Elephas maximus indicus: one gene and its partners. The protein of the gene in region 3 interacts with the protein of the main gene of each other region in a biochemical or structural test. Links are inferred from orthologs where the notes say so. Each region holds a gene or a part of one and is shown on either strand. Other genes may lie near its edges.

Region 1 (7,951 bases), on a different chromosome or scaffold from region 3:
GGCACTTCCCTGTTCTCCATGTCACATTTTCCTACTCATTCCCCTCTCTATTCTTACTACAGTCAGTAAGTATTTTCCTCATTTGTTTACTTGTTTATTATTTATATCCTCCAGTAGATTATAAGCTCCATGAGACTCCACAAGAGCAAGTATCATGTCTTATAAGTTTTACCATTGTGCCTAGTACAGGGCATTGGCACATAGAAAGCGCTCAATAGATTTAGATTTTGGAAAATGAATTGCTAAATGAATGAATAATGTATTTACAACCTGATTGCTGTGAATGTTAAGTAACTTGAGGAAGCACTTTTTCTAGTTTTGAGTTATATTTTCCAAAATCTTTCTAGATTTTCTGAAATCTAATGGTGTCTACCAAACTGTTATTTCACAGCAATAAAAATAGATGTCTCAACCAATGGATTTAAGAAAAAATATTTTGAGGACAGTTTCATAGTTTATTAAATATCAATAAAATCACACAATTTGGGACTGGTTAGTCTCATTTAACTATTGCAAGCCAAAATACTTGAGGAAAAATAATTGAAAATGTAAAGTAAATGAGAAATAAGACAATCCAGCACCAAACTGCAGTTATGCTACTAATAACAGAAATATCCAGCATAATAACCTGTAGGTGTACTAGGCGAACTATCAAATACATATTGACTCATTAAAAAAATTCCGAGAAAATGCTTACAGCTAACTCACACCTACCTCTATTTCTCCTGGCAAACATAGTTTTACTGTACCATCACCTTAGTGACAATTTTAGTTCAGAATTAGTATCAATAATAATCACAAAAGGAAAAGATATTTTAAATCATGTAAAATTACCTGATATAAATTCTTTTTGAAAAAAAGTTCCCAAGAAAGTTCAGATTTAGAAGGATGGGCCTGTGATAAGTCCCCTTTCCCTACTATATTTTATTCTTCATAGAACTAAAATGAAGTCAAAAATTTACCAAATTTATAAAAAAAGTATAAAAATCATCTGGAAGCCATTGTAACCGAACTAAATGGATAATCAATGGCCTTTATTCTTCTTGTAAAACCCCCCTTCTTCAGCACATCAACTTCAACCCTATAGTCACACCACAGTTCTTAAAGCATGTTTATAAAAGTGGTAGATTTAACAACCTTGGGAAAATGAGGCTTTATTTCAAAATAGACGCTGCTGCATAAGCTGCCCTCACTGCGTCACTGCCAAAAGAAGTGCTACTCGGATAGTGAAATTCAGCTATTATCTTCACTCACAACTTGGTTTCTTCTGAGATTACTGCCAGTTAGGGCACATAGTGTCAGTAGCAATACCCGGTCACACATCAAGCAAACAATTCTATTACTTTTAAGGATAAGGATATTAATAAGAACCTGCAGCTAAGGGGGCTAATTTTTTTCTTATGTAAAATGATGTCATAAGTGCTTAATGATTTCATTTTTTTCTCCGTTTTCAAATTTGTGCATTAGATATATAGCCTATTTCTAAAACACAGCTGCATACATCAACACGTGCTCACTCACTCGTATCTGCCTCCACTTTCAGCTTCTCCATTGAATTTTCTGCCGGCGCTAATTACAGCAAGGAAGTGAGCAAACGCATCTCAGTGTGGGAGGTGACATGGCAATTGCATAGGAGAAGGTGGAATTGCTAAGAGAATAACTGGTGCTGTGAAGTCCACTTAAGCAAACTAACGTCTAATGCACGGAAAAAAATAGTTTTATTGAAAAACTACATGGTTTTGAAATGCTGTTTCTTGGGAGTGTATACAAATATGAAATCTACAGTAAAAAATTGTGGCTTGCTTTAAAAAAATCTGTAAGTATTTTCCTCTGTTGCAGGTTCCTTCACGACTAAGACAGTTTTAAATCCCAGTCTCTCCGATTCTATTCAATGTCCTTAGTAACTAACCCAGAAAAAAAACCAGGGCCGTCTTACTAAGTTATGGGTCCTTAGTAACTAGGCTACCCCAATTTGAGTGATTTTTTAACTCACTAAAAATCCTCTGGCTATATTAAACCATTGAACATCCCAATTTACAGGTGGAGAAATGGAGTCAGCAATCAAAAGTCCCACCAGTCCTCTCAGGCTGACTCAGCAGCGGAGGGGAGGGTGGGACGAATCAGATTTTTAAAAAAAATTTTTTTTTTTTACTATACTAGGATTACATCTTCTGAATCGACCCCATGGCCAAGAGTTAGGGCCTTTTTATTGGGGGATGGGGGTTGCGTTGGACTAGGATACACGGATGGAGAGATGGCTGGCAACGGTTCGTGGACCAAGTTATTGAAACCTAGAAACTTTCAGGTTCCTTAGCTGATATTTACGAAAGGATCGTTCCCACCACTTTCAGTAAACCATAGGCTGGACTGTAAGCCTCCAAAAAATCAGCACTCAACTGTGATTAAACCAAAGATGTCAAGACGTTCAGAGCGAAGTTGAAAGCTTGGAGGGAGAAGAGGCGTGTGCTCCTGGCGGAGGCTTCCAAGTTCGAAGATTCTGAGGGAGGGATGGATTGGGAGGCACAAAGGAGAAGCTGTTAGAGGACAGGAGTCAGTGGGGCCGAGGCAGGCAAAGGGGCCCGAGACCGTCAGGACAGCGACAGTGAAGCCCGGACAGGAAGACCTTGGAGGGATAACAAAGAAGCAAAGGGAAAACTGGCTTCTGGGGTCCTAGAAGAACCCAGGTATCTTGCGGAGCCAGGAGACCCTGAGGTGGGAATGAGAAGGTGCTCGGATGAGGGCGTGCACACGCACGCGGGAGAAAAAGGGGAGGCGTGCAAAGAGCAAAGCTGGTCCCCTGTCCCACTGGCCCTAGTGTAGATCGGGAACTCTTCGCCGCGCGCTGCTTCGCGGCGCTCGGTCCCGGAGGCCGGGAGGCGGGGACAAGGCTGATGGAGCCCCTGCAACTTCGGGACCCTGCCTCACCTTGTTTGCCGCGTCCGGGGTCCCGCCACTCGTCCGCCGGCTGCTGCGCTCCTGGGGCCAAAACGGGAGTCGCTCCGCGCAATCGAGGCTCCCTCCTACTGTGAGGTACCAGCACCCTCACCTCCGCACCGCCGCACCTCTGCACCCCTTGCTGGCTCTGGCCACTTCACCCTGTGCTGGCGGAGGTGGAGAGCGCGGACCCTGGACCCGAACGGCGCTCCAGTTATTTCCAGAAGTCCCCTTTCCAGGCTTCCCTTAAATAGGAGCTGAGCTGGGGCGGGCAGCAGCAGAGCCTCCGGCTGACCTCACCAGGGGGTGGAGGGGAGGGAGGGGAGAAGGAGGGAGAGGGGCGGGAACCTAGGGGGGAGGAGAGGGGAGAGTGGTGGGAGGGAGCCCGGGCGGGGGCAACATGGCGGCGGGGGTGGCCCTGGCGGCGCCTGCGCGGAGGCGGGGGGAGCTGGGGCTAGCACAGAGTGCGGGGTCCGAGCTGAACTCCCTGGCAGTGACCGAAGTGGGGCGAGCATGGGCCCGGAGGCGGGATGACAGTCAAATGTTCCTCACGCCTCCAAAACCTAGACGCTAGGGTTTGAGCATACTTGGCCTCTAGTGCCCAGGAGGCAGGAGAGGTGAAAGCTGTCAAATATCCAGGAGCAAAAGTGCGCCCGCCCGGGGCTAGCCACTCCAAGAGGAAGCCGCCCGTGCCTCCTGCCAGCTTTGGCCCTGGCCTCCTCAGCACAGCGGGGCCAGGAAAGGGTGTGTGCTGTAGAAACAGGGCCACTTCACCTCAGTGGGATTCTCACTTCAAAAGAAACCTGACTCAGGCTTTCTTGCAACAGTTCATCACTCTTCTAGCGCGATGAGTGAGCGCTTCATCTCTCCCCCTCCTGACAGAGTATTAAGAAACAGGAAGAATAACAACCACAAATACAGCAGTTTAACATTGACTGAACGTTTGCTATGAATGAAGCTCTGATCCATTAACTGTCTTAACTCTCACAGCTACTCCACGAGGTACCCACTATTATTATCTCCATTTTACAAATGACAGCTAAGGCGTAAATTTTAAGCTAGTTGCCCAAGGTTATAGAATTTGTAAATGGCAAAGCGCCCAAGCTCTCATCCACTATGCTATACTGCTTCTGGTGGGACTGCTATTACTAAGTCAGGATCTTGATTCTATCCTCCCAGTTCTGTTAACCTGTTGTCTTTCGGCGCTGTACAGTCGATTTCGGACTCCTAGTGACCCCCTGTGACAGAGTAGAACTGCCCCCATAGGATTTTTTTTTTTTTTTTAATCTTTAAGAGAGGAGATGGCCAGGTCTTTCTCCTTTCCATTGCGCTTAACTTTTGTGCCACCAGGGCTGCTCCTGTCAACTTAGCCCCCAAGGAAATCCCTAGTCAAGCCTGTTTGCCTCCTTACATGTTTCCTCATTCATTCTTTGACTTCTTGGTGATTATAGCCTGGGGCCACCTTCTTACACCTCTTCCTTCTCTGTTTCTACTTATAATTCCAGACTCCTCCGTGGAAAAATAGCGGGAGCTTGCTGTTAGCAACCAGTTTAATAATTGGGATTTTTTTTTTTCCTGTTTTATTTTTAAGGGTGAGAGGTGCTCCTTGGAAACCCTATGGGGCAGTTCTACTCTGTCCTATAGGGTCGCTATGAGTTGGAATCAACTCAACAGCAATGGGTTTGGTTTTTCTTTTTTTTATGAGGATCAGGGCATTTATGACACTGTAGTTCTTTTTTTTTTTCTTCTTCTTATGTTTCCTAGTATTACTCTCTCTGCCTTCCAGTAAACTGATCTGGAATCTGAGATCTTGCTATTGCTGACTTGTTATTTCAAATTCCACATATTAAAATTCAAGTAGTGAGTTTTAGGTAAATTTGAGAATGATCAGCTACTCAAAAACGTGCTCGAACTGAAGATATCACCACACTGTTAGTCTTTATCAAACTGGTGAAAAGATAAGAACTCCAAATGCACAAGGAAATCACGTTATTATTTGTTATTGTCAGTGCATTCTACCCAATTCATCTTTATTAACAGGAATGCATTCATTAGCTTCTCCACTACCCTTATTCAATAATTATTATACACCTACATTACACACTGGAAATATTGGTGGTGTAGTGGTTAAGAGCTACGGCTGTTCATCTACACTTTCTAATTTTTTCTGTACTAAGAATAAGAATAGAAGAGAAAAATATGGTTTTCTAATAAAAAATGAAAGGTTTTGGAGAAATTTTAATGTGGAGTCATATTTTAGCCATATCATTTTTAGATGGCACCATGTGCACTGGGGATATAGAACAAGAGCAGTTAATTGGAAGGTATTTATATACGGGTGGTAGTTAAAACAATAGAAACAATTAAGAAAACTCAGAGGAATTTAGACTCACAGAAGAATTTAGTTGTCAAAGGAGACACCCAAGGAAGAATGGGGAAAAAAAGAAGTCAGTCCAAGTGAGGAAGGAGAGAACATTAGAACTAAAGGGGAGGCAGCTGTGTTAAACATAGAAGAGAGAGTGAGGGAAATGCTTCCAAGGTGAACAAGGTAACACTCCCCATGTGGAATAATCCAGAGCAGGTGTTGTACTTCACAGTTTAAGCTATTTTTTTTTTAATTTATCATACTTTTAACCCTATAATGTCCTCATCTTTCTAAAATGAAAATCTAAATATGTCACTTGTCAGTTAAATTTGGCTTTTCCTTTGCACATTAGAACTCCAGGAAATCATGAGACTGCTGGAAAGGAACTCAAATTTGCCTTGGCCCTCTAGATCACCGATGATAAAGTTAAGACCCGGAGAATGAATGTGATTTGCCCAGGGTCACACACAACCAATGACTTAAACATAGTTAAAATTTCTCAGCTCTCCCTGATAAAGGAGAATGCTAGTGTTTTGGTAAATGAATCCTTAGATAATCTGTCAAACTAATTTTGTCAACCGTTTTCAAGTTTCCTCCTTTTCCCGCTTTTTCCTTCCCTGAAGCTCTAGCTGGCCTACTCTATCACCCCTCTTTCCATGTTCCCCTCTCCTCTCTCCTGAACCTGTTTCTCAAACATGCCAGGGAACTGCTTCATTTTGCCAGTGTGATTGCTCATTTGAAGGATCCCTTGTGGCGCAGTGGTTGCAGCGCTTGGCTGCCAACCAAACGGTCAGCGGTTCAAACCCACCAGCTGTTCTGCAAGAAAAGATGTGGCAGTCTGCTTCCATAAAGATTTACAGCTTTGGAAAGAAACCCTATGAGGCAGTGTCTGTCCTACAGGGTCCCTGTGAGTCTGAATCAGCTTGACAGCAGTGGATTTTGGGTTGCTCATTTGACCATCTTAATAGGAATACACTCCTCTTGTCAGCCTAGCAAACTGCTTCTTCTTTAAACAGACTCATTCAAGTGTAATTTTCCCTGAGAAGCATTTCCCGCCAACCCAGGTGGCAATGCACACACCTTGGAAATAGTGAAAAGCAAAGTTGGCCTGGGTTTCAATTTGAGCGCTACCATTCATTAGCTGTGTGATCTTGAGCGAATTACTAAATCTCTTTTTGTCCATTCGTTGTATTTTGTAATGGCAATACCAGCAATTTCTTCCCAAATAGGCCTCTCCTGAAGGTTAAATAATTATTATGGGTGTTGTTGCTGTGTGCCATTGAGTCAATAGCAACTCTATAGAAAAAACTGGTTTTTGTTTTTTTTTTTTTCTATAGAGTCAGAGTAAAACTGCACCATAGGGTTTTCTAGGCGGAAATCTTTACCGGAACAGATCTCTAGGTCTTTTGTCCTGCAGAGTGGCTGGTGAGCTCAAACTGAAATGCTTTCAGTTAGCAGCTAAGACCTTAACAATTGCACCACCAGGGATCCTTCTTTATGATGCACAAAAGCACTTAAAACAGTGCCTGCTACATAGGAAGTACTTTATAAGTCTTCCTGTTGTTGTTGTTAGTTGCCACCAAGTTGATTCTGACTCATGGCAACCCCATGTGTGCAAAGTAGAACTGTTCCATAGGGTTTTCAAGGCTATGACCTTTTGGAAGCAGTTTTCCAGGCCTGTCTTTCAAGGTACCTCTGGGTGCTTTCAAACCACCAACCTTTCAGCTTCAACCTACTCCTTAGCAGAGCACCTGAAACACTTTAGAGCACTTTTTGCATGTCTGCCTCCTCCTACCAGATTATAAGCTTCCTGAGATCAGCAACTATATCTGATTCACTGTCTGGCAATAATGAGTGCTCAATAAATGCTTATGAAGTGAAAAAATAAGCTGTGTCTAAGTAAACAAGCAATCCCTACTCTAAATAAACCAGATTCATAAAAAAGTTGTTTTTACAAAAACAAATTGAATAAATTAGTCTGTACGTTTCTGCCTTAAATATTAAGCCCTTGCAGGTATATTTAAATAAATGTCAATTCACAACTATCATATAATTGTTCAATTGTGTTAGTCAAGGGAATGCTGAAAGTGGGAATATGCCATTCTACTACATCCCTTTTAATAACACCCCAAACTGTTTTTTAAAAACCTTGTACTTCTTTCCTGCTGGCAGATGAGCTCTGCCAATCACTGTATAACTTGGGCAAGTCCTCTACCTTCTCTGACACTTCCCTAATCTATAAAATGGGATAATAACACTCACTACTCAACACAGAGAAGTTGTGGTGATTAATGTTACTAAGATACTTCAAGATCCTTTGATGAAAAGTGCTCCAGAATAGCCAATTCTTTTTTACTAAGTTTGCCTTCTTTGTTCTTGATGATAGGACATGTGGACATAAGGAGCCTTGTTCCTAAAGAGGTTCAGCTTCTATTTCTTCCTGTTGACTTTCTTTGGGTGTAATCCTACATTTCATTCTTGTGGGCTTGCCTAGAGATTTTAAGGGAGAAATGAGCAGCAGCAACTCCTTGGGAACAAAGGTCCCAGTTTCATAAGCATGACCTTGTTAAGAATTTGCCTCTTAACATTAGGTTGTACCTGAACTGCCTCTGATCAATTTTCCTTCCCCAACCCCCCACCCCCAACAAAGTC
Region 2 (7,673 bases), on a different chromosome or scaffold from region 3:
AAATGAACAACAATAAAAAGTCTATACCTCAAAACCTATGAGATACAGTGAAAGTATTACTAGAGAAAAACATGTGATCTGAAAATATACCTATTACAAAACAAGAACATTAAATAGTGGAGCTAAGCATTCAACTCATGTGTTACAAAGAGAACATTAGAGCAAAAGAAGTATTAAAGGTAATGCAACATAAATGAAAAAGAATAAACAAAAAATATAGGGGAGATGAGAGGGCATAGGGGGCCAGAAGCTACACGAACGGACACAAGGACAGAAAGTGGAGGGAAGAACTGTGCTATCTCAACAGAGGGAAAGCAATTAGGAGTGTATGGCAAGATGTATGTAAATTTTTGTATGAGACTGACCTGATTTGTAAACTTCCACTTAAAGCACAATAAAAATTAATTAAAAAAAAAAGTAGTACAGTTGCTCAATAAATAAAATCAATGACCAATAAAATGGACAAATCTCGGATAAGTTTAAAACTTTGCATAAAAAAATAAAAAAAATACAATCTACAGAAACTAACATCTTGAAGAACAAAATTAACTTCTGAAATGTTGTTTAAGGTCCAGTCAAGAAAAGAGAACCCACAAATAGTTCAATAGAAGGGTTTTAAAACGGCAAACTAATCATAAAGTTGTCAGAAGAGCTGAAGAGCAAGTGGGGGAAGGCAAGGCAATCCAGAGATGGCTTGTGCTGGGCAGTGGGTGGGGGCAGCGGTGGTTCAGTGGGAGAGTTCTCACATTCCACACAGGAGACCTGGGTTCAATTCCCAGCCAGTGGACCTCATGGCAGCCACCATCCATCTGAGGCTTGCGTGTTGCTATGATGCTAGACAGGTTTCAATGGAGCTTCCAGACTGTGACTGAGTAAGAAGAAAAGCCTGACGATCTACTGCTGAAAGTCAGCTAATTACAGTCAGATCCCAGACGGATGATAGGATGGCAAAGGAACAGGCAGCATTTCGTTCTACTGTGCGTGGGGTTACCATGAGTTGGGAGTTGAGCCAATGGCTGGCAGTGGAGATTTTATCCCTGGTTAGGGAATGTGGACCAAAGAAACAGAGCAGTGTCCAGGTGACTAGTAACATTTAGGAGAAAGAAGGTGGCCCCAGACCCAGGAGATAAACAACTGGCATCCACCCCTCCCCTGCACCAGTCAGCCATCCAGTGCCTGGAGGCCGCCTTTAGTAAACAGGTAAGGGCAGTCACAGAAAATGTAAAGATGGACACGACTAAAACTCATCAAACAACTTAAGAAAGCCAACAGCATGAAAGGAACCAAGCTCAGCAAACAAAATAACCAATACCAGAAGCATCTCAGTTATGGAGGAAAAAATACAAGGAGCTTGAATTCCAAGCACAGGTAGAAAGGGTAACAGAAAGGCTCTGAGAAGGTGAGAGGAGGATCTGACCAAGGGCCCGTGCAGAAGTGTTCAGTGCCCATTTGAGAAAAAACTTTTAGTCTGGAGTGGAAGGATGCTTCTACATAAGAAAGCAACAGATAATATCATACTTAATAATATTCCTGTTAAAATCAGGAACGAAGATAGCCAAAGCACTACTCTTATTTCGATATTAGCCTCAGGGCCTCGCTAATACAATAAGAAAACATAAATAAAAACACATAGAACTTAAAAAGGAATATAAAAGTCATTATTTGTAGACAATATAATGGTCTACTCAAAAATTTCAATTAAAGCAACTAAAAGACTATTAGGATGAACAAGAGAATTCAGCAAGGTGGCTGGATGCAAAGGTTATGTTTTAGGAAAGAAAAACCCCAATCACAACTGCAGCCTCTCTATATAACCTATAATACACTCATTTTTCACCCTGCCCTTAGCTATAAGCTAAACAGTTGCTATGAGTTGGAATCCACTCGACGGCATCAGGTTTGGATTTTTTTTTGGCTATAGAACAAGAGTTAGAAGATAAGTAAAGCAGTTGCTGCCACCCATCCACAGGACAGAAACTGAGGACCACAACTCGGTCCTCCTTCCCAGGGACACAACTTATGGAAGGGAACAGAGTGAGAGCTCTTGGAGTTAGCGGGCTTGGCTCAGCGCCAACACTGCCACTCACTGAAGAAAACAACCCTGGAAAGATCCCTTCTAAGAGCAGGATTGCGTTTGAAATTGTTACTGAAAGCCGCCAATACTTACGCAATTTTAAAAAGCACAAACACAGATTTTTAAAAATCCCGTATCTCCTGGAACAAGCTGGGTGACTTTGCTCAAGTCATCGGGCCTCAGTTTTCTCATCGGTACAATAGGGACAATATACAGTTGAGATAATGTACCTAAAGAGCTTAGCACAATGCCTTGTTAGTTAGTGGTTAAAACGAAACTCAAAACAGTTGCCGTGGAGTTAGTTGATTCAGGCTGATGGCAACCCCATGAATGACCGATTTTGGGACAGTAGATCACCAGGCCTTTCTTCCGAGCTGTTAGGGGTAAGGGCTCAATAAACAATAAAGAGAATGCAGTCCTTTCCTTGTCCAGCCCCTCGGCCGCTCCCGGGACCCCTGCCCGATGGCAGGGCCGCTCGGCCCCTTGCGGAGAAAGGCCACTGGGCCGGGAGGCGGGCGACACCGGCTCTACCGCAGCTCCAGCCCGGCACGCGAGTGCCCTTCCCTGTCTGTGACGCGGACCGGCCGTGCCTGCCTCACAGACGGGCTGCAAGTCGGCTCGGAGGGAAAGGGGCCGCGGCCCGGTTACCTGAGGGCCGCCGCGGGGCCGGGGGCGTCGGGCTCGGGCTGCGCCTCCGCGGGGTTTCCGGCTTGCGGCGCCTGCGGCGCGGGCCCATGGCTGGGCCGGAGGGGTCGGCGCTCGGCCCCGAGCCAAGCGTGCGGCCCCACTCCACGGGCTTCGGGGGCGAAAGGCTGGCGTCCGAGAGCCCAGGGCCGCGTGGGTCCGAGAAGCTGTCGCTCGGAGGGTAGACAACGCTGAATCCCCGTTCAAAACGTTCGCTGCGGCTACTTCACTACCGGCGTTTTTTAAACCCAAATTCAGCTACTCCCAGTGGCTGACTCTGGAACGCCCATGGCGTAGAAGGCTGCGGGGTGGACCAATGAGAACACAGGCCGGCGGGAACGCAGCGGGGCGGTGATAGGAGGAGGGCCGGGATCGACGGTGAAACCGACCAACCGACACTTGGCGAAGTGAAAGAAGGCGGGAATTTCTCCTGCCGCGGCTCGTTCGTGAGGGTGTTCTCTGAGCAGTCAGATCGCTCGTTCAGTGTGACCGCTGGTCAAAGCCCCAAACCGAACTCACTGCCGTGGAGTCGGTTCAGACTCGTAGCCACCCCATAGGGTTTCCAAGGCTGTAAATCTGTAAAAAGCAGTTGGCCACATCTTTCTCCCACAGAGCCGCTGGTGGTTTCAAACCGCCAACCGTTCAGTTGGCAGTGAATCGCCTTAATACTGTGCCACCAGGGCTTCGATGCTCAAACAGAGCAAGCTCAATTTGAAAAATGCGTTTGTAGAACGCGTTTCTCTAAAAAAAAATTACTTTCCTTAGACATTTTATGTTTGGCCCTATCAACCCTGTAAATTAGCATTTGAAGATGAGGAAAGTGAGGTCCACAGGGAGTACGCAGTGACGTCACTGGGAGCAGGGTTGAGGGGTGGGAAGTGCTGACTCTACCAGGTGACACTGCCGGAGAAGGTGACACCAAAATGACTGTCTATAAAATTTTTGCGCAGTGTTTCAGCAGAAATTTATTATTTTATTTAAAAAATCCCTGTAGTTATAACAACAAAAACTTTTTTGTAAGCCCAGCTTATATGTATCAATATATCTACAAGGCTGAAACTCCATGCTAATTTACTTTCTGAACGTGCAAACGCACTCTTGAAGCCCCGGTGGCTCAGTGGTTAAGTGTTTGGCTGCTAACCAACAGGTTGGAAGTTCGAATCCACCAGCCACTCCTTGGAAACCCTATGGCTCAGTTCTACTCTGTCCTGTAGGATCATTATGAGTCAGAATCCACTCAAGAGTAATGGGTTTGGTTTGGGGTTAATGCACTCCGGTCAGAGCTGTCATTGTTATCCAATTATGATGACGCTTGGAATCACGTAGTTTTGTCTATACCGTGCAACAAGGATGTGCTGTTGTTTTCATTGTTGCCAGTGTTTTTATAGTCGTCGATTTTGTCAAATTTTCTGATATTTTAGCTACAATATTGTGGTAATTAGTATTTGTGAACCTATATCAAAACATTTTTTGAGAATGAAGTAGTAACTAAAGGAAAAGAAGTAGTGATATACAGAATTACGATTTACAAGTAGCATGAGTACAAAAACATTACTGTGGATTCTGTATGGTCTGGTACAGGATGAGGTCCATGCAGGGTGAGGGGTGACACTATGAGTTACTGCACTGGGTGACACTAACCCACGTAATGCACTCTTGTTCTTTTAAGAATAGTCCTTATCCCTGATCCATTAGAAAAGCTCAATAAAGGCAGCTGCCATGCCTATAACTACTGGGGAAGCTCCCTCTACAGAGGATGCCTTCTCATGGGAATTGACATCCATGGCACCCAGCAAGTAAGAAGCATGAGGAATTCCCCAGTCTGAGGCAGCAGCACAGTATCCCTCACAGTGAGGCAGAGGGAGCTAATCACTGCTGGGCTCAAAAGGCATTCCCTAGCCACCCGATGTAGATGTTCCCCAGATTTTACTTTTTAAGGAAACCTGTGAGAAAAGTACTGCATATCTTTGCTTAAGAAGATTCTATTTAAATGTTATAAAATGTAAAAGCTATGGAATAAAAAGAGAGAAGGGCTTTTTAAAAAAAAATTTTGGCCAAAGCCAAAGTCCTTGGTGCAGAGGGGAGACACAATGAGTTACCACACTAGCTGACACCAACCCTAGTGACCCCACTGGGATATGACAATTCCATGTTGTGCCTGTGACTCTTTCGTGAACACCCTCTAAATATGACTCAGAAGTCGTTTCACTGCATAAGCTTTATTGACTATTAGGGCCCAGGGGACAACCAGGATCACCAGGCTTCTGGCCATGAGTTTCGGGCGGGGCAGGCCTCATCGCTATTCTTGGATCACACTTTTGACTTAATGACTTCTTCTAATTTCCTTGGCTCCATCTTGTCCTGTTAGGGGATAATATGAATTCAGTTCATGTCTTAGAAAAAAAGGGGATTTAATTTTCTACACTTTGCTTTCTTGCATTTTCTAAATGATCCACACTGAGCTTGTACTATAATCAGGAAAAATATTAATTAAAAAATCAGTGATTTCAATTATGCACATGTTACAGTGTTTAAGAGTGTGGTCTTTTGAAGTAAGGGAAGTCAGACCTGCCCCTAGGTGTGAAGGCAAGTTACTGAATTTCTCTAAGCTTCAGTTTTCTCATCTGTAAATGGGGATAATAAGAGTCATCTAGAGGTATTTGAGAGTGTGAAACAGAATAATGCGTAAGAAAAAAATTAAAGCAGTCAGCAAGCACTGAAGTGGTGATGCAAACCTTTGCTGAAGGTTTGAATTGTGATGAAGTGTTGACAAGAAGGAAGAACAAGCATTTGCTAAAGCTATTATCATGAAAATGATGAGGGATATGACACCGCGCCATGAAGAGGGAATTGGGGGAAACTCTTGGGTGGAGGGTATTGAGGTTGAGGGTATTTGGGAGTCTTCCTCAAGAAGGTAGAGCAGAATCATGGTGATTGGGAGGGATTTGGGAAGGTGGGACTGAGGGGACGGAGGAATGGTGTGTCAAACAAAGATCACAGCCTGAGAAGAGGCAAACCAGCGGAGGTCATTTGGAGAGCAAAGGTTACCCTGTTTGGCTAGATGTAGGGATGGGCGATTAGTGACCTCATCAGAAGAAGGTGGATGGGGACTAGAGGGTGAGGGTGTGGGGGTTGATGGAACCTGTGTAATCTCAGGAAAGTCACTGTTACTTTGCTGAGCCACAGATTCGTTATGCATTTTTCTTTTTTTTTAATTAGGTTGCTAAGTCAGATCTAACATTACTTGTTCTATGACTACACAATTTCTCTGACAGGACAGTGGGGAAGACGGGAAAGGACATTAGGGTACAATATCTAAAACTCAGAAATTTAATTCTGCCCTCTCAGCTAGAGTACAAGCTGCCCACTAATTAAGTAAAACATTTCTCAGACACCATACGACCTCTGGAAACCCTGGTGGTGTGGTGGCTAAGTGCTGCAGCTGCTAACCAAAAGGTTGGCAGTTCACATCCACAGGCGCTCCTTGAAAACTCTATGGGGCAGTTCTACTCTGCCCTATATGGTTGCTATGAGTCAGAATCTACTCAATGGCAATGGGTTTGGTTTTTTGGTTTATCCCCTCTCCCCCAGCTGTGTGGCTGAAGACAGCAGGGGGAGAATTGAAAGAGTGGAGAGGAGGACCAGCTAGTGGTAATGCACTCTTATAAATTCTCTTAGCTAAGGAAAGTGAATTTTTATTAGCCCTAGATGGGGCAAGTGGTTTGCGATTGGTTGCTAACAGAAAGGTTGGCTGTTCAAACCCACCCAGGGACTCTGAGGAAGAAAAAGCCTGGGGAATCCGTTTCTGTAAAGATTACCAAAACCAAACTAAATCAGTGGCTGTCGAGTCGATTCCGACTCATAACGACCCTATAGGACAGAGTAGGGTTTCCAAGGCTGTGATCTTTTGAGCCACTGACCTTTCCATTATCAGCTGAGGCTTAACCACTGCACCCTCAGGGCTCTTTCCATAAAGATTATGGCCTAGAAAACCCTATGGAACAGTTCTGCTTTGTAACACATGGAGTTCCCATGAGTCAGGGGCCTCCTGGATGGCAGCAAACAACAACGACACAGAGCTGAACTGTCCAGGATGGAAGGCACTAGCCACATGTGGCTCTTGAGCACTTGAAATGTGGTTGCTCAATCTGAAGTGATGTAAGTGTGAAATACATACTGAGTTTTGAACACTTAGTACAAAAAGTTAATACCAAATATCTTATTATTAATTTGTTATATCGCTTACATGTTGAAACAATAATATCTTAGATACCCAAAACCCAAACCCAACCAGTCATTGCTGTCAAGTGGATTCCAACTCACAGCCACCCTATAGAACAGAGCAGAACTGCCCCATAGGGTTTCCAAGGCTGTAAATCTTAATGGAAGCAGACTGCCACATCTTTCTCCTACAGAGCAGCTGGTGGCTTCTAATCACGGACTTTTCGGTTAGCAGCTGAGCACTTTAACCACTGCACCACCAGGGGTCCTTAACATCTTAGATATATTGCATTAAATAAAATATATTAAAATTAATTTTATTTGTATCTTTTTACTTTTCTAATGTGCCTACTCTGTAACATACGGGATCGACGTGAGTAGGGCCCAACTCTAGGGCAGCTAACAAGTATAAATTTAAGATTACAGCAGTGGCTTACATTGTATTTCTATTGGACAACACTGACATAGAACGTATCACTTTTGTCTGCACAATTTTCATGATTCACTTAACAGACAATTATTGAGCATCTATTATGTGCCAGGCACTGATATAGGGGGTGGGGATAATGCAGCAAATTGGACAGACACGGTCCTTGCCCTCATAATGCTTATGTTCTGGTGGGAGGGGGAAAGCATAATAAATAAACTAATGAAAAAATTATTACATATTATGAAAATAAACTCAGTGATTGGA
Region 3 (7,329 bases):
CGTGGCTGTTCGCTGCTCATCAAAAGTGCGGCTCTTCTGCAGCTCCTTGTAGAGCTCCCCCCGCGGGGCATACTCCAGAATCAAGTAGACCCTCCGGCGATCATAGAAATAGTTGTAGAGACGCAGAATGTTGGGATGCCTGGGGAAGCACAGAGGAGCCTCAGTCTGCATCCTGGCTAGGAGCCAGGGAAAATGACAGGTCCATATGGGGCAAACAGGACCGGGCTGGGGACGCCAGGGCTGGGAGTGGTGAAGGGGAACACAGGTGAGGATGGGGACAGCTCTCTGGATTCATGGCTCTGGCCCAGTTGAGAGCTAAGCAGACACAGCTGCCTGGAAAGCAGGCTGGAGGTGGTGGAATGGAAAGAGAAGCTTGGGGCTGGGGGTGAGGGGCAGAGGGGCTTTGCTTGGAGGGTGTTGACCTACTGCAGATGGGCCTGGATTTCGATCTCTCTGCGCAGTTGGTGCTCCACACCCTCCTTCTCTATCTGAGACTTGAAGAGGACCTTGAGTGCCACGATGAAATGGCTTTTCTTCTCCCGAGCCAAGTACACATTTCCAAACTTGCCTTTACCCAGAGGACGCCCAATCTCAAAGTCGTCAATTGTGAAGGGCCGCCTGATCGGAAAGTGAGGGGAAGGCCGCTCAGTGCCAGGAGGTGGCATGGGTTTGTTGGTCATTTAAATTGTTTGTCTTCTCCCTACTCCTCAGCCCATCCTGCTCTCAACCCTCTTTCTCTTGGAAGGGAGCTGAGAATGGACCAGACTTTCCTGCCCCATCCCTACTCCACCTGCCCCTGGGGTTTACCTCCCTCGTTTCCTATCCCACCTCTTCTCTCCCACCCCGAGGCTTGGGGTACTTACATTAAGAAGCTGGGTGTCCCACTGCTGTTCTCTGTCATCTTCTTCTCACCAGGGGCAGCTAAGAGAGAACAGGTAAGTTGAGGCCCTCATTTGACCTTCTCATCCCTGTGCCCTCCCCATAGGCTCCAGTCCCTTCAGGTCAATCCTCTCCCTCGTCTGAGTTACCTGTGGGCTGGGCATTGGAGCGGCTCATGAGGACAAGTGCAGATGGGGTGGCAAGGTCTTTCCGGAATACTCTTTGGGGCAGGGTGTTTAGGCCAGATTGAGCCTGAGAAGGAGCAAGGGGTAGCTCTGAGGCGCTTTTGTCCCAGTGACTGGGCTGGAATGTGCTACGTGTAGCAATTTAGCTACTTGCTATGGAGCCACGACTCACTCACCCCCAGCTCAAAGAGGAACACTGATAGAATTCTGCCACCCAGCCCTAAGACTCTGCTCAGAGCACAATATTACAATGTGTTATTAGTTATCAGCCTAAGTTAGACTTATATAAGGATCAAAAGACTCATCCCAGCGCCTCACGTTTCACCTTTTTGGCCCTGGCCCACACCACATTCTCAGGTACAAAGCTCTCCAGCCTCTATAGTCCTGTCCATAACATCACATTCAGTCACCCAGGCCCCCCACCCTAGGGAGCAGTAGTGGACTGGGTCAATGAACACCCACAATCCGAGGAGTTTTAGCACAGAGGTATTCTCAGTCCCCTAAAAGCCCAGTCTTTAAGGCTCAGGTGAGGTCCTTGAAGCCTTGGACGTTGCAGCAAACACCAGTAATTAGCCCTTTGCACCAACAGGCTTTTCTGGACACTGAGGACTACTTTGGTGGCCTGGGACCACTTCTAATTTTCAACCTCTCAGGTTAATATACGCAACTTTCTTTTGGGAGTGACCAATGTAGAGGTGACAGTGGTTTCTCATTCAGCCTCCACTCTTAACAACCTCACTAAGTGCTCCTGGAGGGAGGGAACTGTTGGACAAGGGATAGATGGACCCTCCAGGATGCCTAAGCCACACCAACAAGGGAGCTAAGCCAGTGCAGTGTTTCTTCAGCCCAGAGAGGAAGAAACCCTAGTGCCCTTAGAAACCTGTCCCAAGACAGCAACAAATAAACAAGCCCCAAAATAGACCCACATATATTTGGGAATTTAAAACGTATAATACAGGTGGCATTTCAAATCAGAGAGTGAACTCTTCAGTGAAAGGTGTTGGGACAACTGGCTAACCATCTAGAAAATACTCTATTTAGATCCTTCTGCACTCTAGTTATTAAAATAAACTCCAAATTATTAATTTAGACTTGTCCTTGACCTTTTAAACATCTTATTTCTATTTCCGGTCTATCTTATTTTTTTCAGGACAAGGGTAGGGAATCGTGGCTCAAAGGCCAGACCCTGACTCTGGCCAGACGCTCAGTCCCAGCTATCACTTGAATGTGACAAGTAGGCTCAGTCAGCCCAGCAGAGGGGCCAGTGGTTGGTCAGATTCAAGTTCACAGCACTTGAGAAGCCTTTAGGACGTGGCTGCGAAAGACCAGACCGGATTCTTCTAGCAAACTCTTGGAGCCCATACAGTGGAGCATACTAGCGAAGAAAGTGCTAAGAGGATCGGCCTCTGCAGGACCCCAAAGCTGGCATTGGGCGCCTTAGACAATCTCCAAGCAGTATCTCGCCATAGGGATAGGGGGAGGAGGGAGAGGAAAGGGCCTTACCGTCTGCCGGCCGTAGGGCCAGGGGTAGGCGTTCTCCTTCTGGGCCATCCTTAGAGGGAAAGGGGGCGGGGAGCTGAGCCGGAGGAGGGAAACAGAGCCGTGAGAAGAACATAGAATGAGCGCACGAGGGAGGGGTCTGACCTTTCTAGCCGGAAGCGCCTGCCTGGGGCTGGTGGAAAGGAGCGGATCAGCACGCTGGCCAGAGTAGTCGGGATCCCGGCGCTTGCCATTTCGTCCCTCCCAGCTACTGGCCCCACTCCCCTCCAGGACCCTCTCTCCACTTTTATACGCCCAGCAGCCCAGCGGAATGCGCGCGGGCCCGCCCAACGGACCCCGACCTGCCTGATCACCTGTCTTCTCCCGGCGCAAGGCCCGCGGAAGGGGGCTAGCTCACCTGGAGCCGGCAGGACAGCTGCTCTCCCTGCCTCCCGCAAACGACTGAATCTGCCCCGACGCGCCCCAGCCGAGGCGCTTTCAAATCTCCCGCCCTGACCCCATTGGCTGAGCGCACCGCCCATGCCCAATTCTTATTGGTTGGATGTTCCCTGACTTAGGCCGTGGGAGCCCAATGGAAACGGCGGAAGGCGCATTTCCGCACTCTCGCATTCCGGTATGGAGAGGTTTTCTTTCCCCGAATCAGATGTTCTCAAGTTTGTTTTTTTTTTTGTTTTTTTTAATTTAAATCTTTAATATCTCTGGAATTAATCCGTGTGTGTATGAGTTAAGATGTAACAGATGGGTAGTCAGTTATGCCAAGACTATTTGTTAAAACTGCCACATTCCCAACGTGATTTAAATGCCACCCTTAATATATGAAGTTCCGGTTTTGGGTCTGTTTCTGGGCCCCCTGTTCTGTCACCTTATTTGTTCGTTTGCGTGTGTGTCTGTCCTTGGGTCATTACTATTTTGTTCTTAAAAGTCCTGCATCCACTAAAACGTCCCTAGGAGGAAGTATATGGACGTTTCTCTGCAAGTTCTCCTGCGGTTGCCATGTTGTTTGAACCTGCTCCGCCGCCTTGCTGCAACGTTCGCCTCTTTTCTGCTCCTTCCGACGCAGAAGTAACCCCACATACTGGTTTTGCCTGTTTTGAACTTTGCATAAACAGACCCATACAACATGTATTCTTCTGTGCCTGACTTCTCTTGTTCAATACTATTTGTGAGATTCATCCATATTGTCGATGTACTACTGGTTTTTAAATATACATGAACACGATAAAATTTAAACAGTTCGGTTAAAAGTAAGACTCTCTACCACCCCAATTGCCTAGTCCTCTACTCCTATCCCCAGAGGCAACCATTGTCATCCGGCTCTTCTGTGTGCCAGCATTTTGTTGTCAAAATGATTCATCCTACCAGTAGAAAAATGAAAAAATTACAGTGTGATTGTGAAGAGGAACTTGAAAGCCCCGGTCCCAGCCACACTCCCCAGAGGTAAATTCTACTAATGTATTTTGATATACCCTTCTAGATCTTTTCTATGCACGTATTAGTTTGATATACCCTTCTAGATCTTTTCTATGCACGTATTAGTTTGATATACCCTTCTAGATCTTTTCTATCACGTATTAGTTTGATATGCCCTTCTAGATCTTTTCTATGCACGTATTAGTTTGATATACCCTTCTAGATCTTTTCTATCACGTATTAGTTTGATATGCCCTTCTAGATCTTTTCTATCACGTATTAGTTTGATATACCCTTCTAGATCTTTTCTGTGCATGTATATGTCTGTCCTTGAAAAAATGGCACAGATGGAATCATCACACCCATTGCTCTCCGATTTACCTCTTTAAATCTTTCAGTTTTCCTTGGACATTTTCCCACATCAACACAGTCAGACATAACTCATTCATTTTTAAAAATAATTTATTTTGTTGTTAAGAATATACACAGCAAAACGTACACCAATTCAACAGTTTTTACATGTACAATTCAGTGACATCGATTCCATTCTTCCAGTTGTGCAGCCATTCTCACCCTCCTTTTCTGAGTTGTTCCTCCCCCATTAACATAAACTCACTGCCCCCTAAGGTTCCTATCTAATCTTTCAAGTTGCTGTTGTCAATTTGATCCCATACAGATAGATCTTGGAGGAGGTACAGCCAGAATGCTACTGGCATAAGGATAGAAATATAGATCAATGAAATAGAATTAAGAGTCTAGAAATAAGCCTATATATTTATGGTCAATTGATTTTTTTTTTTTAATTCTGCTTTAGGTGAAAGTTCACAGCTCAGGTTAATTTCTTGTTCAAAAATTTGTACACATATTGTTTTGTGACACTAGTTGCAATCTATGTGACTCCTCCTTTCCACCTCAGGGTTCCCTGTATCCATTCAACCAGTTCCTGTCCCCTCCTGCCTTCTCATCCTGCTTTTGGATAGGAGCTACCTATTTGGTCTCATGTATCTGATTGAACTAAGAAGTACATTCCTCACGTGTATTATTTTTTTGTTTTATAGTCCTTTCTAATCTTTGTCTGAAGAGCGGGCTTTGGGAATGGTTCAGTTCTGGCTTAACAGTGCATCTGGGGGCCATAGTTTCAGGGATTCTTCCAGTTTCTGTCATGGTCAGTTGATTTTGACAAGTGCGCCAAGACCATTAAACGGAGAAAGAATAGCCTCTTTAACAAATGATGCTGGTACGACTAAATAAATTTCCACGTGTAAAAGAATGATTGAACTCTTACCTCACACTATATTCAGAAATTAACTCAGAATGAATCAAGAATCTAAAAGTAAGAGCTAAAAATACACCTTAGAAGAAAAAAAAAAAAACAGGAGTAAATCTTTATAATCTTTGATTTGGCAATGGTTTGTCAGACACCAAAAGCACAAGCAATGAAAGAAAAAAAAGATAAAATTAAAAGCTTTTGTGTATCAAAGGATACTATCAAGATAGTGAAAAGACTTCCCACAAAATGAAAAAAATATTTGCAAATCATATATCTCATAAAGAATTTATATCCAGAATATATAAAGAACTCTTACAACTCAACAACAAAAGGACAAATAATCCAATTAAAAAATGGGCAATGGACTGAGACCAGAAGAACTAGATGATGGCCGGCTACCACCAACGACTGCCCTGACAGGGAGCACAACAGACAGTCCCTGACAGAGCAGAAGAAAAGCAGGGTGCAGAACTCAAATTCTAGTAAAAAGACCAGACTTAATGGTCTGACTGAGCCCGGAGGGACCCCAGAAGACATGGCCCCCAGACTCTTTATTAGCCCCAAACTAAAACCATTCCCGAAGCCACCTCTTCAGACAAAGATTAGACTGGACTATAAGACATAAAATGATACTTGTGAAGAGTGTGCTTCTTAGCTCAAGTAGATATTATGAAAATAAATGGGCAGCTCCTGTTCAGAGGCGAGATGAGAAGGCAGAGAGGGACAGGAGCTGTTTGAACGGACAGGAGAAACACAGGGTGGAAGGGAGGAGTGTGCTGTCATAGAGCAACTAGGGTCACATAATAATGTTTGTATAAATTTTTGTATGAGAAACTGACTTGAACTGTAAATTTTCATTTAAAGTACAATAATTAAGAAAAAAGGCAATGGATCTGAATAGACATTTCTCCAAAGAAAATATGCAAATGGCCAATAAGCACACGAAAACATGGTCAATATCACTGATTACTAAAAAGAAAACAAAAACACATTGCCTTTCAGCAGATTCCAACTCATAACAACCCTATAGGACAGGGTAGAACTACCCCACAGAGTTTCCAAGGAGCTTCTGGTGGACTTAAACTGCCCACCCTTTGGTTAAGCAGCTGTAGCACTTAGCCATTATGCCACCAAAGTTTCCTCGCTGATAATTGGAGAAATGCAAATCAAAACCACAATGAGATACACTTCATGCCCACTACGGTGGCCATAATAATTAAAAAAAAAAAAAAAAAAGGAAAATCACCAGTGTTGGCGAGAGTGTGGAGAAATTGAAACCCTTGTGCATTGCTGGTGGGGATATAAAACGGAACATATGCTGTGGAAAACAGTTTGGTAGTTTCTAATAAATTTAATATAGGATTACTGTATGACGAGCAATTCCACTCATAGTTACATATTCCAAAGAACTGAAAACAGGTGCTCAAACAAAAACTTGTACACGAATGTTCACAGAAACACTATTCACAATAGCCGAAAAGTGGAAAAAACTTAAATGTCCATCAACAGATGAATGTATAAACAAAATGTGTCATAACTATACAATGAAATATTATTCAGCCATAAAAGGAATGAAGTTCTGATACATGCTACAACATGGATGAACCTTGAAAACATTAAATGAAAAAAAGCAGCCACAAAACGACACGTATTGCATGATTCCATTTATATGAAATATTTACAACAGCCCGTGTAGTCGTGGCCGAGTGGTTAAGGCGATGGACTAGAAATCCATTGGGGTCTCCCCGCGCAGGTTCGAATCCTGCCGACTACGCTTCGTTGGAAACCCTGGTGGTAAAGACCTTGGCTGGTAACCAAAATACCTCCAGTTCGAATCCACCAAACCTGTTTCACAGGGTCTCTAGAAGTCGACAACGACTCGTTTGGTTTTGGTTCTGGTATCCAGAATAGGCAAACCCATAGAGACAAGAAAGCAGATCAATAGTTGCTAGCTAGAGGCTGGAAACCCTGGTGCGCAGTGGTTAGGTGCTATGGCTGCTAACCGCAGAGGTCGGCTGTAGGAATCCACCGAGCGCTCCTTGGATAACCCTATGTGCTATAGGGCAGTTCTGCCCGGTCCTGCCC
Region 4 (6,871 bases), on a different chromosome or scaffold from region 3:
TTAAAATTCTTTAACTTTGTTCAGCATTATTTCTTCACTTTTTTCCTAGGTTTTACTGAACAAAAATAGTGAAACCTACATTGAGTAAAAACAATTCTTTGAAATTTGAACTTTGCTAAATAACCTGAAGAAAAGCAACTCTACATAAAACAATGTACAAGTTACTTCAACAGCAAAGCAGAAAAGTAATGTAAATTTCATGTGACACAACAATTTAGTCAAATGACAAATTTGGTTGTCAATTTAATGTTACAGCCCTTATCTATCTAAATTCAGTATCCTCTGGTACAGAATTCCCATATGAATAGAAATAGCTGATCTGTGGGGAAATTTTTTTAATGTAAAAACAATTTCACACATAGTTGAAGTGCAAATGGATTTTAAAATTATGTGTATTAACTCTCTAAAAAGAGATATCAAACTCTGACTTAGGGCTTTACTGATTTTTCAAGTTAATATTTTGAATTTATTATTTCTCATGTTTTCAAGAAATGTCTCATAGTGTGAATCCATACAATCTGGTAAGTTCAGTTCACAGATAGGTTAAAAGCTCTACGAAAAGAGGAGGTCAGCTAACAATACTTGTTTTAGGTTACAACAGGCTGCCTCCCTTCGATGTCCTGCAGGTAAAGATGAAAACTTGCAACTCTGTAACATGAGTGTATTTACTACAATCACCTCCAATTTGACTTACACAACACCACAAGAAGACATCTAATTTAAACATTTTCTACACATTTTTTTTTTTTTCATTTGTTAAAACAGCTGGCTATGTGGAACACATTTTCAGAATGCATTTATTAGTCGTTTGGTAAACATACTAAGGCAAAAAAACACAAATGACATCGATTACCTTTTATCTAATAACTGTACCAATCACTGTAAAAAGAAATACAACTGAAGGAAAAGAGATCATCCATGATGCACTGCAAATGTATTATACCTTAGTCTTAGGAATGATCTGAAGGTGCTGAAAGAGGAGATTCTCTAGAAGGTGATCCAGGGTTTTCTTCAGGTGGAAAAACTGTGAGGGTACAAGCTCGAATGCCACCAAGTGACTCTGGAAGGTCAAAAACTTTGTGCCACTCATCTTTTTCTGGGTCATATTTCTGGACAATTTCTACCATACAACGGTTATTCCAAGAGTACCCACCAACAACATAAATTTTATTTTCAAAGACAGCAACTCCAACATCACTCTGACCTCTTAACATAGCAGCAATTGGTGTCCACTGGTCAAGGGTTGGTGAATAGTATTCACAGCTTAGAACGTCATCATAATCACTTGTTCCCCTGAAGTGATTGCCACCAATGACATAGAGTTTGTCTCCAACTGTACACATGCAATGCAGACCTCTGACTGTAGTCATTGGAGCTTTCTGTGTCCACTTGTCTGTATCTGGGTCAAAGCACATGAGCTCATTTTGGAAAGTGTCATGGGTAATTCCGCCTGAAATATACATTAAACCTCCATACACTGTTCCAGCATGGCCATAGTGGGGTTCACTCATCTTTGCAACATAGCTCCACTCATTCATTCTTGGGTTGTAACATTCTACTGTGGCCAGTTCACCAGCTGCACTTCGCCCACCAACCGCATACAAATATCCTTTGAGGGCGCTCAAGTGGAAGAATGTGCGCTTTTCATTTAATGATGCAACTTGCTTCCATTTATTATACCGAGGATCAAATCTAAAAACAGTATCAACAGCGGTTTTTCCTTTCGTATCATAATTACTTTGACCACCAACCACATAAAGAAAGTTTCCAATGACAGCAATGCCATGCTGGTAACGAGGAGCATCCATCGGGGCTAAAGATTTCCATTCTTGTGCCCTTTCATCATACATTCTTAATTCTTTACTGACAACCAACTGTTGCCTCAAAACTCCTCCTAATGTAACCAAGTGAGTCGAGTCAGATCGAATGGCAGTTCTGTCTGACTGCATCACTGGCTGCATATATGGCATCATCTGGTAATTGCTAGCTTCCAAAAGCAAATTCACACAGGTATTGTCCGTTCTCATGAAATCTACAGTTTGCACGTAATTGATGAGGTCCTGCGGTGTCATCAGTGGAAATCGAATGTTCTTCATTAATTTTGCAGCATAATCCATCCGAGGGTCTTCCAACCTTAGCCAGCGACAGGCAGCCTTGAAGAGTTCAAGTTCAGTACAGTGCTTAAGACTATTACTGGAAAGCACAAAGGCAAGCCGCTCAAAAGGGAGTTTCAGGAACTCCCCAGTACTCAACAATGCAGGAAAATTCTTCAGGATGAAATTATTAACATATTTGTCCACTTCTATAAGATTGTAGGTGTTAGCAATCCGTCCAACCTCAACACAGTTATCTAAAGAGACCCCTGATATAAGAAATACTTTACAGAAGTCCAAAACAGGTAAAATCTGCAAAAAGCTGGCAGCTTCAAGTGTGTCTTGAAGATTGTCCATATTAAGAGACAGTTTCGCAGTATAAATAAAATCAATGATTTTCTTCAGACCAACCTTGTTCACTCCATGAAGCTTAATGCACATTAAATCTTGTTCTTTCATTCCACCCGTAAACATGGCTTTGAAATAATCACTAGCAGACGCCATCATAGCTCTGTGAACAGGGAAGATTTCATCTCCATCACCTGGTACCAGGGTCACATCGCAAAGCAATCCTTCTACTCTAAGCTGATCAAAACCTTGCAATACCACCGAGCTGTGAGTATTGCTGGTAAAAAAGCGCGTGGTTCCTGCCTTGCAAGGCTGCAAATGGGCAGAGACGCCCATTTCGCCGTTACCAAGAGACACTTTCATGTGAAAACCTTCCTCTTGCACAGACAGAAGAATGCTGAAGAAAGAGGTTAATAAACAATGTTTTCGAGGAAACGAGGGCTTCCAAAGAGCAATACAGCTCGCTTTCCTTAACAAGGGCGAGCAGTAACTGTGGCACCCCTCAGGGCACACCTGACAGTCATCCACTGAAAACTGCTCCGTAGGACCACAAACGGCTGCGGACCTCAAATCTGATTATTATGCAGATGAGTCATCACCTGAAGGCAGTTAAATAACCCGGTTCACCTCGGCCGGCCTGCGCTGCCGCTCCTTCAGGCGCCGCCACGTACTGCAGCTCCGCCGCGAAGCCGGGCACTTCGGCAAGCGGCCCGCTGCGCCCTCCGCTGTCACCAGCGCGTCGCCGCGGTCACGGGCCTGTCTTCGAGCAGGAGCCTGGAACACGGGCCTGGGCCTGGGCCTGGGCCTGGGCCGGGAACACGGGCCTAACCCGAGACGCCGAGCCACTCCTTCCGGAAAAGCCGAGTCCCAAGATGCCCTGGGTTAGGAGCGGCCGCGGCAGCTACTGCGGCTGCGCACTCGCCTGACCTCATCGGTGGGCGGGCGTGCAGTGGAGGGGAGAGGAAGTGCACGGGATGCTGGAGGGAGGGGCGGGGGACGGGGAAATGAGGTTGCGAGGGTGGGGGCGAGCAGACCTTCCTAGGGTCACAGTGGAAGTAGCCCTGAATGGGCCGCAAGGAGTGCACGTATATTTTGCTGCATTTAGTATAACCATTTTTGCGGTGTCTGAGCTCTCCAAAATGCATATTTTTCCTATGAGATTTACACTTCCTGCCTTTGCCTTTTGAATTTCCTTGAACCTGCCAGTGTATAAATTGAGTGGTAACCTGGCACCGGAGGGGATGAGAAGAAGATACTTAAAATTTTTTGTCTATAAAAGAGTTTACCTGCAATTCTTTTCGCACACAATTTAACAGACACTTCAATTATCATTTTGGCTCATATTTTCAAATTTTATTTAAAACACACATCTCTCTGAAATCGTGATCATATTATATCCTGAATTTGTCCTGAATTTTTTGCTCACAGTGCAATTCCATCATAAATAATTTCTTCATGCTTTTTTTTTGTTCTCCATTCACAATTTACTAAAAGGTTACACGATTTTCCAAAAACTATGTAAAAAAAACTATGCATATTATTATTTCCTTCGCCCATTATTTGTTCTTGGATGTATACATTCTTGTGTCCATTGTTTTACAGAATTTGTGACAAATTTATAGAATCTGGACACAGAACTTCCCCGCGTCTGGATAAAAACCAAAAAAAAAACAAAAATAAAAACAAACAAACCCAGTGCTGTCCAGTCGATTCCGACTCATAGTGGCCCTATAGAACAGAGTAGAACTACCCCATAGAGTTTCCAAGGAGCGCCTGGTAGATTCGAACTGCCAGCCCTTTGGTTAAGCAGACATTGCACTTAACCACTACACCACCAGGGTTTCCACGTGTCTGGATAAGGGTACAGTAATTAAATTCTAGGATTATGGTCTACCGAAATAATACTAAACATGGAAAATTATGCAAAAACATGTCTATCATATAACTTAATTTTTAATACTGAGGAATTAAAAATAATCGAAATAGTCAACAACATGGTAATGATTAAGTACGTTATTGTACATTCATATAATGTGCTATTATGTTGTTGTTAGGTGCCCTCAAGTCGGTTCCGACTCATAGCGACCCTTTGCACAACAGAATGAAACACTGCCATGTCCCGCGCCATCCTTACAATCGTTGTTATGCTTGAGCTCATTGTTGCAGCCACTGTGTCAATCCACCTTGTTGAGGGTCTTCTCCTTTCCTGCTGACCCTGTACTCTGCCAAGTATGATGTCCTTCTCCAGTGACTGATCCCTCCTGACAACATGTCCAAAGTATGGAAGACGCGGTCTCGCCATCCTCGCCTCTAAGGAGCATTCTGGCTGCACTTCTTCCAAGACAGATTTGTTCTTTCTTTTGGCAGTCCATGGCATATTCAATATTCTTTGCCAACACCACAATTCAGAGGCGTCAACTTTTCTTAGGTCTTCCTTATTCATTGTCCATCTTTCACATGCATATGATGTGATTGAAAATACCATGGCTTGGGTCAGGCGCACCTTAGTCTTCAGGGTGACATCTTTGCCCTTCAACACTTTGAAGAGGTCCTTTGCAGCAGATTTGCCCAATGCAACGCGTCTTTTGATTTCTTGACTGCTGCTTCCATGGCCGTTGATTGTGGATCCAAGTAAAATGAAATCCTTGACAACTTCAATCTTTTCTCCGTTTATCATGATGTTGCTCATTGGTCCAGTTGTGAGGATTTTTATTTTCTTTATGTTGAGGTGTAATCCATACTGAAGGCTGTGTGGCCTTTGATCTTCATTAGTAAGTGCTTCAAGTCCTCTTCACTTTCAGCAAGCAAGGTCATGTCATCTGCTATTATATAGCCATAAAAATACTGTTTGCAACTGTTTTTAACACTGTAAGTAGATATACGATAAATGTATATGTACAAAATTGCATTTATGATCTAAACTATATGTAGCTGGTTTTCAAAATTAGATTTGAAAAGAAAAGGAAAAAAGCCTTAATTTTATTATCATTAAACCAATTCTTTTCCAGATCCCACACCCCTGAATTATTGGTGGTAGTATTAACTACAACTGAATGTCCAATTTTATTTTAAGCTTAGTCTGATCTCATGCTTCAAATGATCTGTTTAAATGATCAGTCTCTGAGTCTTTTCCTTCTGATTTTTTTCTTAAATGGTGTCTGAAAGTATGGGAATGGAGGCTTAATGTTCTCCTGACCTTTGAGAACCCCACCTCCAGCTTGGTGTGGTCCTTGTTTGTGTGCTGGTGGCACCAGGTCTTCAGAGAGATCTCCCTTGTTCTTACTGAATATACATATATTAGATGAATATATACTGAATATATATAGCAATCTGCAGCTGGCCAACCTAGGTTCATTCTTTTAGTTTAGTCAGACCTCTCTGTGAAAATCACCTATCTTCTCTATTTGTTGATTCAGTTTTCCTTCAGCTTTGGGTGTCCCAGCCTGTAGACCAGGTGATCCACACCAGTCATGGCTACAAGTCACATCATTCTGCCACTTTAGAGGCTTATTGCCTCTCAATGCAGTGTTCACCACAAAGGCAGAGAGGACATGTCAGGAGAGTTGTAAAGTTCAGAGTCTGTCTTTGGCTGACCATTCTGTGATGCCATGATTATGTGATGACCCTCCAGATTGGTGTGGGGTAACCCATGAGATGGTACCCAATGACCATTCTTAAAGTGAGTAGCGGGACAAGAACCCATTGTCTCTGGTGCTCACCTCAACCTACCTGGTATACTTTTCTCTTTTCAGAAGATAACAGGAAACAAAGTCTGATTATTTTCCCTCCTTCCCTCTTTCTTTGTTCTTACAATTTTCTGGGAAGGAAGAAAGAGAGAACCCCTTTCTGCTAAATACTCTACATCATACTCTACTGGGTTCTATTGTGGTGGCTTGCCTATTGCTGTGATGCTGGAATCTATGCCACCAGTATTTCAAATACCAGAAGGGTCATGCACAGTGGACAGCCTTCAGCAGAGCTTCCAGATGAAGACAGGCTAGGAAAAGGACCTGGCAGTCTACTTCTCAAAAAACTTGCCATTGAAAACCTTATGAATAACAGTGAAACACTGTCTGATATAGTGCCGGAAGATGACCCACAATGACATGGATGGAGTAAGCCTTCTGGACCTTCATTTGCGATGCGGCACAACTCAAAATGAGAAAAAAACAGCTGCACGTATCCACTAATAATCGGATTGTGGAATGTACGAAGTCCAGGAAAATTAGAAGTTGTCAAAAATGAATTGGAATGCATAAAGATTGATATCCTAGGCATTAGTGAGCTGAAATGGACTGGAATTGGCCATTTTGAATTGAACAATCATATGGTCTACTATGCCAGGAATGACAAATTGAAGAGGAATGGCATCACATTCATCGTCAAAAAAAAAAAAAAAAAAAAATCATTTCAAGATCTATCCTGAAGTA

The links.
Region 1: of the proteins of AURKB (region 3) and KLHL13, one has a biochemical effect on the other in vitro, tested with the Homo sapiens proteins (2 studies listed by BioGRID and IntAct, with this or other methods). The link is inferred for Elephas maximus indicus from reciprocal best matches to the Homo sapiens genes AURKB and KLHL13.
Region 2: of the proteins of AURKB (region 3) and CENPA, one has a biochemical effect on the other in vitro, tested with the Homo sapiens proteins (3 studies listed by BioGRID). The link is inferred for Elephas maximus indicus from reciprocal best matches to the Homo sapiens genes AURKB and CENPA.
Region 4: the proteins of AURKB (region 3) and KLHL9 form a complex in vitro, tested with the Homo sapiens proteins (2 studies listed by BioGRID and IntAct, with this or other methods). The link is inferred for Elephas maximus indicus from reciprocal best matches to the Homo sapiens genes AURKB and KLHL9.

Annotation. Positions count from the first base shown.
Region 1 is NC_064846.1:38,901,458-38,909,408, reverse strand, and holds the start of KLHL13 (kelch-like protein 13), read right to left. Parts: upstream 3,020-7,951; 5' UTR 2,926-3,019; intron 1-2,925. UniProt on the Homo sapiens protein: Substrate-specific adapter of a BCR (BTB-CUL3-RBX1) E3 ubiquitin-protein ligase complex required for mitotic progression and cytokinesis.
Region 2 is NC_064830.1:45,052,047-45,059,719, reverse strand, and holds the start of CENPA (histone H3-like centromeric protein A), read right to left. Parts: upstream 3,012-7,673; 5' UTR 2,811-3,011; coding exon 2,723-2,810; intron 1-2,722. UniProt on the Homo sapiens protein: Histone H3-like nucleosomal protein that is specifically found in centromeric nucleosomes. Replaces conventional H3 in the nucleosome core of centromeric chromatin that serves as an assembly site for the inner kinetochore.
Region 3 is NC_064837.1:12,566,383-12,573,711, reverse strand, and holds the start of AURKB (aurora kinase B), read right to left. Parts: upstream 3,021-7,329; 5' UTR 2,962-3,020; intron 2,641-2,961; 5' UTR 2,616-2,640; coding exon 2,568-2,615; intron 1,132-2,567; coding exon 1,029-1,131; intron 922-1,028; coding exon 864-921; intron 619-863; coding exon 427-618; intron 140-426; coding exon 1-139. UniProt on the Homo sapiens protein: Serine/threonine-protein kinase component of the chromosomal passenger complex (CPC), a complex that acts as a key regulator of mitosis.
Region 4 is NC_064827.1:30,999,970-31,006,840, forward strand, and holds the start of KLHL9 (kelch-like protein 9), read right to left. Parts: upstream 3,014-6,871; 5' UTR 2,805-3,013; coding exon 951-2,804; 3' UTR 1-950.